Drosophila melanogaster: one gene and its partner. The protein of the gene in region 2 interacts with the protein of the main gene of each other region in a pairwise test. Each region holds a gene or a part of one and is shown on either strand. Other genes may lie near its edges. The genes, in order: PGAP1 and Cad86C.

Region 1 (6,982 bases), on a different chromosome or scaffold from region 2:
AAAATGACAGAGAAACTGCACAATTAAAAGGTTGTTTGATGATTATAATAACTTGGAATCTAAGTATTATTTTTAAGTATTATATACAAATCTAAATTTGCTAGTCTAGTTCTTGAAGTAAAACAATGTGTACTTTCTCTGGCAGTAATAATCTGAAAATTTGTTTCGATCTGAGGGACCTAAACTTGTTTCTTTTAGCGGCTTAGAGCTGCGACCCCTTGTCCCACGTAAGGGTTAAGGCTAGGCCCGATCGTCAGCTCAAGTCCGTTATCGATAACTAGTTAGCACATCGCAAGCTCCCCCCGCACTCACACACACACACACTCACGCACATGCACATACGCACAGCAACAAAAACAAAGCGATGGCCATCACATCATCAGTGGTGATCAAATCTATATCTATGCATGTGCACAACCAGCCACTGTCCACCGTCAACCTCCAACCACCCAACGCCCACTGACCGAGGATTCGACGACCTTCCTTACCCACACAGCTGCAGCACTCCTCGTAGTTCTTGCCCAGGCATTTGAGGCACTCCTTGCAGCAGGAGCAGTTCTTCAGCTCGCACTTGCAGCTCTGGGTGAGCATGCACTTGGAGACGATCGAGGCGCAGACGACCTCGTTGCAGGACTCCACGGTGCCGTAGAAGCAGACGATGGCCAATAGCACGATGGTGCCCACTGTGAGCGAGCGCCAAATTTCCATGATCGGCGGTGGCTGTGTGTGCGTGTGCGCGTGTGTGTGTAGGGATTGGAATGCGCTCTTTCCCGCAGTTAAGTGTTTGAGTGTGTGCGCGGGTGCAATTACAACAAAACAACAATTACAGGCACACAAGCACACGCAGATTGGGCATTTGATTTGACTTGACTTGACTCGATTTGCTCGCCTTCTTGCACCACTATTAATTTATATATATATATATATATATTTATATATATATGAATTATCGCTATGCGATTCCGGACGGATCAAAACAACAACAAGCGACACCACAACGAACACTAAACAGCAACAACTAGCGAGCGGATCGAACTGTGCGCTGCGGCACTGACGTTGACGGCGGCAGAGGAGCGACTGCGCGGCGACAATGTCTCTCTCTCGCCTTGTTTTTGTTATTGCTAGGGCACAAACTGTCTTTTCTGCTTCTTACCCACACCTGAAACAACAACAATAGAGCCAGGCTAGACACAAACATGCACACACATGCGCACGCACACGCGAATTAAGCGCACACACACGCTCAGAAAGCAGGCTGGCTCACACGCACACACTAACAGTTACGAGCCAGCTTAGAAATTCGAATGAATGATACTGACGCCGGCGCCGCTGCCTTTTGTTGACAATTCCGGTATCCGAATCAAATAACTTCGTCTGAATCTGGAGGATCGGTTTAGATCAGATCGGCGGATCACAGCGCACGCGTACGCCAACTGAATGATCAACTAGGCAAAGCAACAACACGATTCGGCTCGATACATAGGTGTTTATGTGCAAGTGTGTGGCGATCGAGAGATTGGAGATGAGCGCAACTGCGACAGCAGTGAACGGGTTCTAAAAAATCACGACTCGAAATCACGAGACACTGATCAAGCCAAATTACTCGGTTTTTGCATAATACTTTTTCGCATTGAGCAAAGAACTTTAGTTCATCCATTAATAGCTGTTCTCATGTTTATGTAAGCCAATTTACAAACTATTTTAGTAGCTCGTTAAAATATTCTCTTGTATTTAGGGCTCAGGACTATGAGCAATTCTATGCATTTTGTACGTAGTTTTCGTAAACTATTGTTTCACAGAAATTTTATCCAACAAAATTTTGAAAAGCTAGTGTTATACAATTAAATGTTATTGTACGTAGCTCTGATCATTTTACAGTATATATGTTTATAATTTCAATATCATGTCATGGATAAGCAACTTAAACGATACTTTTATTCATGGGCGGCTTGCACACCATTAACAAGTACATACCCGATAAGCTATCGATAACTCGCGGAACTTTGCATCGCCTGATATCGAATGGATGATAACAAAACAAGACATAAACAGATATGAAAAACTAAAAGCCCAGGATGTTTATGTTCCGGAACTGCGCTGTTCTCCTAGTGATCGGCTCCATCTGCTGCTTCATCTACGGCCTGTTCCGCTTGCACGTCGAGGTGGAGCCCAATGCCTGCCGGATGACATACATGTTCGGCGAGCCCATGTTTGCGGTGAGTACGATTCGCTTCTTGAAAAGATCGGCCCACCAATCGCTGATTATACTTGGTTTGCAGAAAGTGGGAGTTAGGGATGGCGACCAGTATCCAAACTACGCGCTGTATTATTACTACGAGGGACTGCGACAGCCGCTGGATCCGCTTAAGCGCCGGATGACGGGTGCTCCGGTTATCTTCGTGCCCGGCAACGCCGGCTCCTACAAACAGGTGCGTTCTCTAGCCTCTGTCGCCCTCCGTAAGGCAATGTCCAACGATGCGGGCATACATTTGGACTACTACACCATTGACTACGACGAGGAGTTGTCCGCTCTGTACGGTGGCTATCTGCACCGCCAACAAAGCTATCTGAAGCTGTGCATTCGGACCATCCTCTCGATTTACGAGGGTCGCACGGAGCAGCCCTCCATCGTGTTGATTGGCCACTCCATGGGCGGCAAGCTAGCGCAGTCAGTGCTAGTTGATCCGGCCATTGGTCAGCACATCAATACAATTATTAGCATATCTACGCCGCTGGATCAGCCGGTGCTCAATCTGGATACCCAACTGGAGGAGTTCTACGACCAAACGGACGCTGTGCTGAGCAAGCTGCGGACTGCCACAGTGCCCACGATGACCACAAATGTCTGCGACAGCCTGCACCAGCGACCACCAAGTGTGCAGCGCATGGCCAGTCAGGACAGCTCGGCGCGGCTGGACAATGTGTTGCTTATTTCCACGGGTGGCGGCAATAGGGATCTGCTGGTGCGACCTGGACTCACCAGCTCCCGGTTCAACGATCTGCATGCCATGGTAGTTAAATTATTCTGCTTGTCCGGCTGAATTCGCATTTATTTTTATTCCTGTTTTTCAGACATCAGCTATACCCAAAGTTAGTCTGAGCTGTGACCATCTGTCGGCCGTGTGGTGCTTGCAGTTCATGCAGGCCATCAATAGGTTTCTCTTCAGTGTAGCCTATGTACGCGAGGATCGCTCATCGATCGCCTTTGGCACCAACAAGCAGCGCAACTTGCAGACGGCATTGTCTACCTTTGTGGTAAGTTGCATTGTATTCTAAGCACTAGTAAATACAAATGATATACTTACAGAAGCCTCGAAGGCGTCAGCAGAATACTGTGCGATTCGGAGCTGCTGGAAATTGGCACGAGGAGCGGCGTCTGGTGATAAATAAGTACTTCACGAACGGCCTCAAGGGCACCTTCTTCGATTTGATTGGCTTGCAGCGACAGGAGCGTTATAGAAAGGCGGCCATCGAGGCCTTGAATGTGGATGACGAGGACTGGTTGTTCGGATGCTCCGCAGAGGACAACAATAAGACGGGACAGCTTTATTGGTAAGTGAACAGAGTAGTCTGTTGAGATAGTTTGTATAATTAATTGTTGCACAGCGAAAAGGCTACCTCCCTGATGCACCTCGTCCAGTGGCTGCCCAACGAAGATCGCGAGCCACGCAGCATTGCTCTTCTCGATCTGCACAACCTGCGCAAGACCTATGTTCACTGGACCCATTTGCTCGTTCGCCTACCGCCGAGCGCCAAGCGAATCGGCTACAACCTGGACATCTACGATCCTAAAGAGCGGGTGACGGACATCAAGATGCCGCGCTGGTACACAATGGCCAAACTGCCATTGATAAACGAGACTCTTCAGGGCACGCTGCACCATCGAGTGCGCATCTCCGAGATGGTGGATCCATACCAGAGCATTCGGGTGATTGTGGAGCCGCTGCAGTGCATTAATCCCGAGTATAGGGTAACTGCGAGAATATGCGTTCCCTGGGCAGCGGGCTTCGAACGTTTCCAAACACTCAAGTCAGTTTGATATACGATTTTACGCCTTGTGGTATTAAATTCGTATGATTTATCTTTTCAGATCGTTTGATCAGAAGCCCCAATTGTATGTAAATGTGCCTACACTAGTGCCCAGACATTATAACACCACGCTCAATCCTGTGACACTGGAGCTATATCTAGATCCAACCTGCCGCTATCGAATCAGGTAACTTTCATCTCACACTTAGTTCAGTAGTGTAAACCCATCTCACTCTGATTTATGTGCTCTTCCAGCTATGAGTACTCCTATTCATCGGCACTATCTCGGCTTGTTCTGGAATTCTACGGCTGGTTGCCGGCGCACCTGGTCTGCGTGTTGCTGATTGTGCTGAGAAAACAAGTTGAGACCTTTTACGACGTGGGCACATTTCGTAGCCTGCGTCCTTATGTGGGTTACCTGCAGTATACATCGCTCTATATTGTCACAGGTTTGTTTGCACCACTGTATTTAGCATACTCATATTAATCCATATTTAATGCATTTTCAGCATGTCGCCTCCTAAAGAAGCTCATCATCAGCAGCCGTGTGTTTCCGGAGCCAGAGCCATTGGACTACAGCATCAATGTGTCCATTGTTATCCACTGTGCGGCCATTGCCTTGTCCCTGCTGGCCACGCTGGGCACTTGGTTGGCCCTGACGCTCTATGGCAACGCCTTCTACCGCCTAGCCCTGCGTATAACGCGCCTTTCCCAGGCAACCTCCAATGTGATGATCTCGATCATGACCCACTTGCCCATTACGTACGGTATACTAACTATTGCCACGGCCATGGGCACTTGCAGCGGAGTGGGTCTTCTCCTGGCCTTTGTCTTCTACTTTCTGATGCTCTCGAATGCTTACAAGGATTATCTGGAGGATTTCCTATGGCAGAAGGCGGCTAATTTGGTGCGTGGAAAGCCCTCTGCAGTGACGGAACAGGAAGATGCAACGGAGGAGCAGAATGAAGAACAGAATGCGCTGAAGCAGAACGATGAACAGAAGCAGCAGCAGCAGGAGGAGGAAGAGCCGGAGGCTTGTGTTGGCCTGCAGAATTTCTCCTTTCATGTCACACTGCTGCTGATGCTATTCGTGCAACTGCTGCTCAATGCTCCAAGCAGTTTGGCTTGGTTGCGCAGTCGCCGGTAATTATTTTCTAACCTTTCGAAGATAATCTTGAGCTGAATTTCCGCTCTGTTTTTTTTTTCTTCAGGCATGGCATTAACCTGCCGGATCCGAGCTTGTATCCCAGCATCGTAGTTTTGGCCTCACTGAGTTTGCTTCTCCAGCTGCGAGCTCCACAGAAATGGTAATTGAAAAATTTTCATTACTATATTATATTATCTTTAAAATGCTAAATGCTTTGCAGTCAGGGATACTGGATGCTATCGATTGCATTCTACATTCTGGCCGGCGTGGTTTTACTGTACTGCCAGGCGGCCATCTACAGGCTGACCTATGTGATTGCCGGGGCCTTCGCCCTGCTGTCTGCCCACCAAAGTCTCTGGATCCTATGGGGTCGTGTGTCACGAGTCTAGTTTCAGTTATGGTTCTCCATGTGTTAATTTGTTATTTATTGCTGCGTTAGTTAATGCACTTCGATTAGAGAGAGAGTGTCGCTTATGTAAACCAAGCAAATAGCGAGGCAAATAAGCCCAGATCTGGATCTCCACCAGCGGGAAGTCCAAACTGAGCTCGGCTGGGCGTTGATCTCGATTTGCCCCGATCGCACGTTATATGTATTAATTGTTTTTACGCCTGCTGTCTGCTGCATTCGATTGGCGATTGGCTCGCCATCTCGGGTGGCTGGCACGTAGTTCTCCATTTGAGGGAAATGTGTGAAAATTTTAATGCCCATTAGCAGCAGCGACACTCGCCAGCCATTTTGTGGTTTTTTTTGTTTTAGCCAAAGACCTTAGATCTTAGTACTTTAGTCCCTCCGAAATTATTTACTTAATATTCTATTGATTTTTGCTTAGTTAAATCCTTTGTAAGCGAAGACAATATAAATTTGTATTAATCACTCTGTTTCTTTCGTCTTACAAATGGATCAACGACCTAATGTAGCTGCCATATGACACAAACCGACTTTCATCCCAAACTAACTTTTGTATAAATGTTGTAAATGTTTTCCAAGTGTTATTCTTATTTTATTATTTAGTGAGTCCCTTGTTTCACCATTAAAATACAATTTTATACCAATTTTATAACTACCAAAAACGAGCAATTGCCAATTTGCTGACCAGTTTAGCTGGGCGTTGAAGTGCGGATTCATCGATCGACCCAACTGGATGCCGATTGAATGTGGATCTGGTTGCGTTCGATCAACACCATCAATTTAATGTCTTATTTGCGCATCGTGGATATCTGGATCAGTCGGTGCATCATGTTCACAACCCCACACCAGCACCACGCAAACTGGGTGAGCCATTCCATTGCAGTGGCAAGTCAACAGTGCCCACGGGAGTCGTTCGGAGCGGGCTTTTTGTTCACTGACCAAACACGATGTCCCGATAAGGATGTGGACACCAGCTCATATGTACATATATTCCATATATTCATGCCGACATCTGTCATCCAACGTGTGACGAAAGTGGTCAATATTCGTGCCACTTGTGATATAACCAAATGGCAGTTCGCCGAGCAATGTACATATGTTAATATCGGCAAAAAGTGGCCATTTCAATAGCGGCTTAAGTAGCTCACTCAGCTCAACCAAATCCTTAATGGAGCCAAACAGTTTGCCAAAGTCAGTTAACAACTTTTTGATGGTTGTGCAACATTTGGCGTATGGATCGTATCATATTTTGTGCGTGCTCTTTAATTAGCTTAACTATTTGTTGATATTGCACAGCTCGCAGTTGAAACTAGTTAATAATTATAATCATATATGCAATTATGATCGGTAGCTTAAAAGGCGGCTTAAAGATGTCTTAAACTTGGAAACAAATTAAT
Region 2 (4,866 bases):
TAGCCAGGCCAATGGCATTCCGATAAACCATCGTCCTCATTATTGGGTTGACCCCATTCAAGGAGCCTGGGATGTGGAAGAGTCAGGATAGGAGCGACTTCGTCAACCCAAGACGTGACTAACAGACGCCAAACAAAAAAAAAGAAAATAAAAAGCAAAATAGATGCCTGGAAAAGTGTGTCACCACGTGGGCCCCTTGGCCAAATCTCAAGTTTTTCCAACTGCAGCCGTAGCAAAAGTTGTAAAGAAACCTCCATGCGCACGGAGGTTAATATGAGAAATGGGTTCAACATCTGCTCCGAGTTCTTGTCTTGGGTTTTGGGCCTGGGATTCGGCGGTAAACTCGTTTAGGTTGCCGCCCTCATTGTGTTCGTTTTTTCCTTCATTTTTGGCCCCATGTATAAATATCCTATAAGACAGTCGACAGCAGACAGCGGCACTGGTCTGTTATTGGTATTGGTATTGGTATAGGAAAAATATTTTAATGTACCTACGATAGGCTGCTCCGGCGCTCTGCCGGCTGCATTAGATGCAGGTCACAAGATAAATAGCACAGAACACGATTACACATATTGAACAAGCTGAAAACATGATCGAATTACTGCAATTTCGTGTGTAGCATTTTCCGGGCCGACGCCACCAGGAAAATCCAACTCGAAAAACATTGGTTCTCTAAATGTTTTAATTTGTCGGTGGCTGAGGGGGGCGGAGGGTGCGGTCTTTTGACCAAATTAATTAAACATACACAAGTCATTAATCGAAAACATGTCGGTTTTGAATATTAGCATAGTCACGGTCTCAGTTTCGAGTACTATTAAAAACAATGACCTTTACAATATGTTCCTGTCGGCAAGAAAGCAAATCCAAATTACATATTTCGAAAGATAACAAGATATTGAACGCAGTCAGCATTACATAATTCGGTCGCATCTAGGTAATCTACTTTTAAGACCCTTTCGAAAACTACTTGAAATATTTAAAGTAGGTAATAAGAAATATTACTACCACCACCTGATGATGGCAAGCCCTTTGTAAAGCCGATATTACAAGTAAACAACAAAATATTTTATGCGTTTTGCGATACCTCTAAGAAGCTAAAATATAAAAATAAATATTGCAACCCTTTCGAAATTGTAAATGAAGCATAAATATAGGTAGGTAACTAACACACTAAAAGATTTAAATAATAAATATATTAAATATAATTAAATATATTGTTTGCCTGCTGAAGCGCCAAATTCATTAAGTGCTTTGATTTTCAGCTTGAAAAGGCGACAATAAAATCGTCGAAATAAGCACCGATATATAACATGCAATAATGGCTTCATGTCTCAATGGAAAACAGCGAAAATCGCTAACAAATTACCTATTGTATAAGCCGTGCAAATTTGTGGCCAATAGTTGAATAATTGAATAAAACGCCATTTGCATGTGCGAACGCAACCGAATACAAGAGCTGCAGGATTAATTGCGGACTCGTCCGCTTCCGATAGTTCTCAGGCTTGTTTATTATTGGGAATATATCAAGGTTCATTGGAGTGGAGTGGTTGTGGAGTGGAGTAGTGGAGCAGTGTGGTTGTTGTACCTACCGGCGAGCGAAACGGGTTTGCTGCTCCCACAAAAACAAGAGTGAGTATTGCCATTGCCTTGCTTTCGGTTCCAAAGAGAAGAAAGAGATTGAGAGAGAGAGAGAGAGAGAGAGAGAGAGAAACCGGCTTTCTGCGTCTCGGAAGACTCTCGCTCTGGCTTTCTGCGGAGAATTCTTCGCGTCCAGATAAGCTCCACTAGTCCAGCACTCTTTCCGGACCATTGGCGTCGGCAGTAGCACTTTGTCGTCGGCGCGCTTTACAACACACCCGGATCGGATCGGAATCGAAATCGAAATTGTATCGCCTCGACTATGCCATACTATACTATACTATACTATACCATGTCTAGCTGCGATTAAATCGTGATCGCGATCGCCATCGGAATTGGAATTGCAATTGAAATCGGGACTGGAGGAGACTGAGATTGTTGAGCTGCTGGTCAGGCAGTATAATTGCGGCAATTTAATGTGGACGCTGAACTGCTGACGCTGCTGTACGTAAATACTTTTGATGTTGATGTTTCTGCAATCGGAGACTCTAGCACGGCGAACAAAAGAACGTTTAGCAAATTCGCCAAGTTCCCAAAATAAATGAGCTTCGGTGTTGAGTTACGCAAAGAATGGTTTCCTAGTAGTGACTGACAGGTCTGCCCGATCGGTATCCCCATTAATTTCGTATCTGACCGATCTGATCGACTTTGATCTAATCCGAAGGCAAGGTCGTTCGAGGTTCATTCAAGCGAAGCCCCAAATTGGTTATCTGAGCCGCTTAGAAAACACGGTTCGGTTTCAGTTTCGGTTTTCAATCGATTTCTTTGGGCTTCTTGACTCATCAGAATAAATTTATTAAAGACGTGCTGGACGCGGAAGGATAGTTGGTGGATAAAACGCTCAGAAATGTGCCTTTAAATCAGTGGCCAAAAAGTGATGCAGTCAATTTAAGATACGGTCTATTAATATTCAGTGCGGGTCCGAAAATGTCAATCACTTGATTACAAACGACAAACAAAAGCAGTGAAGTGCTCGAATTCGGGTTGCATAAATCAGGCGACCGCGACCACATGGAAAGTTGAAATTAAAAGTCAGACTGTGAAGATACGACGATTTTTTACCGGAGTTCACAACGCAGCACTTTTTAACCATTCAAAAGGTATAATTGAACTAGTTTGTATGTACATATTTAATCAACCAATGTCTGATGTGCGAGGGAGAAAATTAAATATATAAATCATGTCTCTGCGAGATAAATAACAAATAAAACAAAGTTAAAGTCAAAACCAACTCTCTCCCCTGTATTATTAGGTAATCTAAAAAGTTGTAAAGGGGCTTAACATTTCATAAAAATAATTTATATAAAAATAATTTAGGTATTATTGACGCTGTACGTATGTATTAACATTTATGCATTCTATAAATATTCACGTTCTTTAAGTCCTCTATTAACTATTAATAAAACTTAAATGCCGCCTGTCGATATTTAATCATCATGTCTCTATTTCGAAACATTTAATTACTGATCTTTCGTTAAGTAGCAATCGATTTCAACAGACGCCGTAAATTTGACAATCTATCCAACCTTCCTTCCGAAATCTCAGATATCGTCGGATGATTTTCCAGTAAACACCTACTTTGGAGGTAATTTGTGGGATGATCCCCCATAAATACTGGAAACATCAAACCATATGGTGAATCTAATCAAATCGGTCGCTTGGTCGGTCCATGTTGATGGATTACATAACGATGTACATTCGTCTGCAGCCAACGAGTAAGTCGACTGCTGCTGCAGGAACTAGCCAAGTTGCTTTATATATATATATACAGATACATATCTGTATATATCGAGCCACACGAACATGGCTACCAGCTACCAGCTACCAACGCAAAAGCAAACAGAGACTCAAACTCAAACGCAAACGCAAAGGCAAACTACATACCTGGCCACTTACCTGAACGGCAGCAACAACACCGGAGCGACCTTGCCTGACCCACTTTACTCGGGGCAGTGCCAAAATTGACAGCTTTGCGGCATTTTAAAATTTATGCTGCAGAATTATCCATAATGGCAGTGCTGTGTGCTGTGGGTCTTATGTGCCGTCCCGTGCGTGCCTGAGCATCGAAAACGCACATATGTATGTACGGTATGGTATATTCGTGCCTCGTTTGGCTTTGGGTTCTCGAAAGTTTAACCTTTTCCCGGCCATCGATCTACCGCTTGCTTTCATTTATAAAAAAATCCGACACGCCGCTGAGGGGTGCAGTCGGTTTGGGTCGACGGTCTATGATTTACTTCGTTTATGGTTATTCTTTTTTATGCAACGCGTCCAACCGGGCATATTTATTAATTTGGGGGCAGGCTGTTGGCCTCAACTAAAACGGCAAATTAGACTACTGGAAAGCCATTCGTCGATCGCTGCATCCCGATTAACAGCGCCCGGAGACGCTTAAAGTGAATTACAGCGACCGCACATCGGCATGGGCATCGAAAAATCGCGTTCGTTGCCTGAGTCTTTCGATTGCCGCGAGGCAACGGGACGCACATCCACGTATCTCAACTCGTAATGGCGACTAGTTCTCGCCGGTTGCCCAACGCAGTGTGGCGTCATTAAAGTGTCGTTCAACCGAGGTTTTAAAAACACAATTCGGAGTCTGAAGCCTTTTGGCCCGACCGCATGCAAAATGAAGAACAATAACTGCGCGAAGGCACATAAAGACATTTATTTATGCTCGACGCCCACAATGTCGCCGCTGCAGTCTGGCTTTTTGGCCCGCTCTTCATTTGCCATGCCGCGCAGCTCTTGGCCAAAACACTAGCACTACACTACCCTCTTGGCCAACTCTCAGCGCGTCCCATTTGCCAAAGTGGAAATAAATTTTTGCTTTATTGAGGAGAGCAATTATGGCCTACAACGACGCGGCGATTCCTTACAACGACTGCAAATAGATTTTCTGTTCTTCAAAATAGCCCTAGCCTCCACTCCATTCCCAATTCCAATCTTGTTCTTTAAGCACTGAAAGAAAATAGCGTTTAATTAAACGATTCGAAACACTTCAATTTGGTTCATAAGCGATAGTCCGAAAAGATATATGACCCATAAAGACATTCAACTGATAATTAATGTAAACGAATATCATTGATATAAATTCACGTTAGGTGACCGAAATGGAAAATTGAACGAATAAATGAATAGTAGGTGGCATTAAGATATGAAACTAGTCACTACTTTATTGTCGATTTGCATATGATTTTTGCCGAGTGTCTTAATGCCGTAGGCCCCTGA

What was found.
Region 1: the proteins of Cad86C (region 2) and PGAP1 interact in a two-hybrid assay, tested with the Drosophila melanogaster proteins (one large-scale study listed by BioGRID).

Annotation. Positions count from the first base shown.
Region 1 is NC_004354.4:5,684,495-5,691,476, reverse strand, and holds PGAP1 (Post-GPI attachment to proteins 1), read left to right. Parts: upstream 1-2,003; 5' UTR 2,004-2,075; coding exon 2,076-2,216; intron 2,217-2,279; coding exon 2,280-3,011; intron 3,012-3,072; coding exon 3,073-3,255; intron 3,256-3,307; coding exon 3,308-3,552; intron 3,553-3,606; coding exon 3,607-4,029; intron 4,030-4,090; coding exon 4,091-4,216; intron 4,217-4,284; coding exon 4,285-4,478; intron 4,479-4,538; coding exon 4,539-5,172; intron 5,173-5,240; coding exon 5,241-5,336; intron 5,337-5,396; coding exon 5,397-5,565; 3' UTR 5,566-6,224; downstream 6,225-6,982. Other genes in the region: cv (crossveinless), read right to left, coding at 489-708. UniProt on the Drosophila melanogaster protein: Involved in inositol deacylation of GPI-anchored proteins.
Region 2 is NT_033777.3:10,825,259-10,830,124, forward strand, and holds the start of Cad86C (cadherin 86C), read left to right. Parts: upstream 1-1,820; 5' UTR 1,821-2,082; exon of another isoform or gene 2,083-2,738; intron 2,739-4,866. UniProt on the Drosophila melanogaster protein: Cadherins are calcium-dependent cell adhesion proteins. They preferentially interact with themselves in a homophilic manner in connecting cells.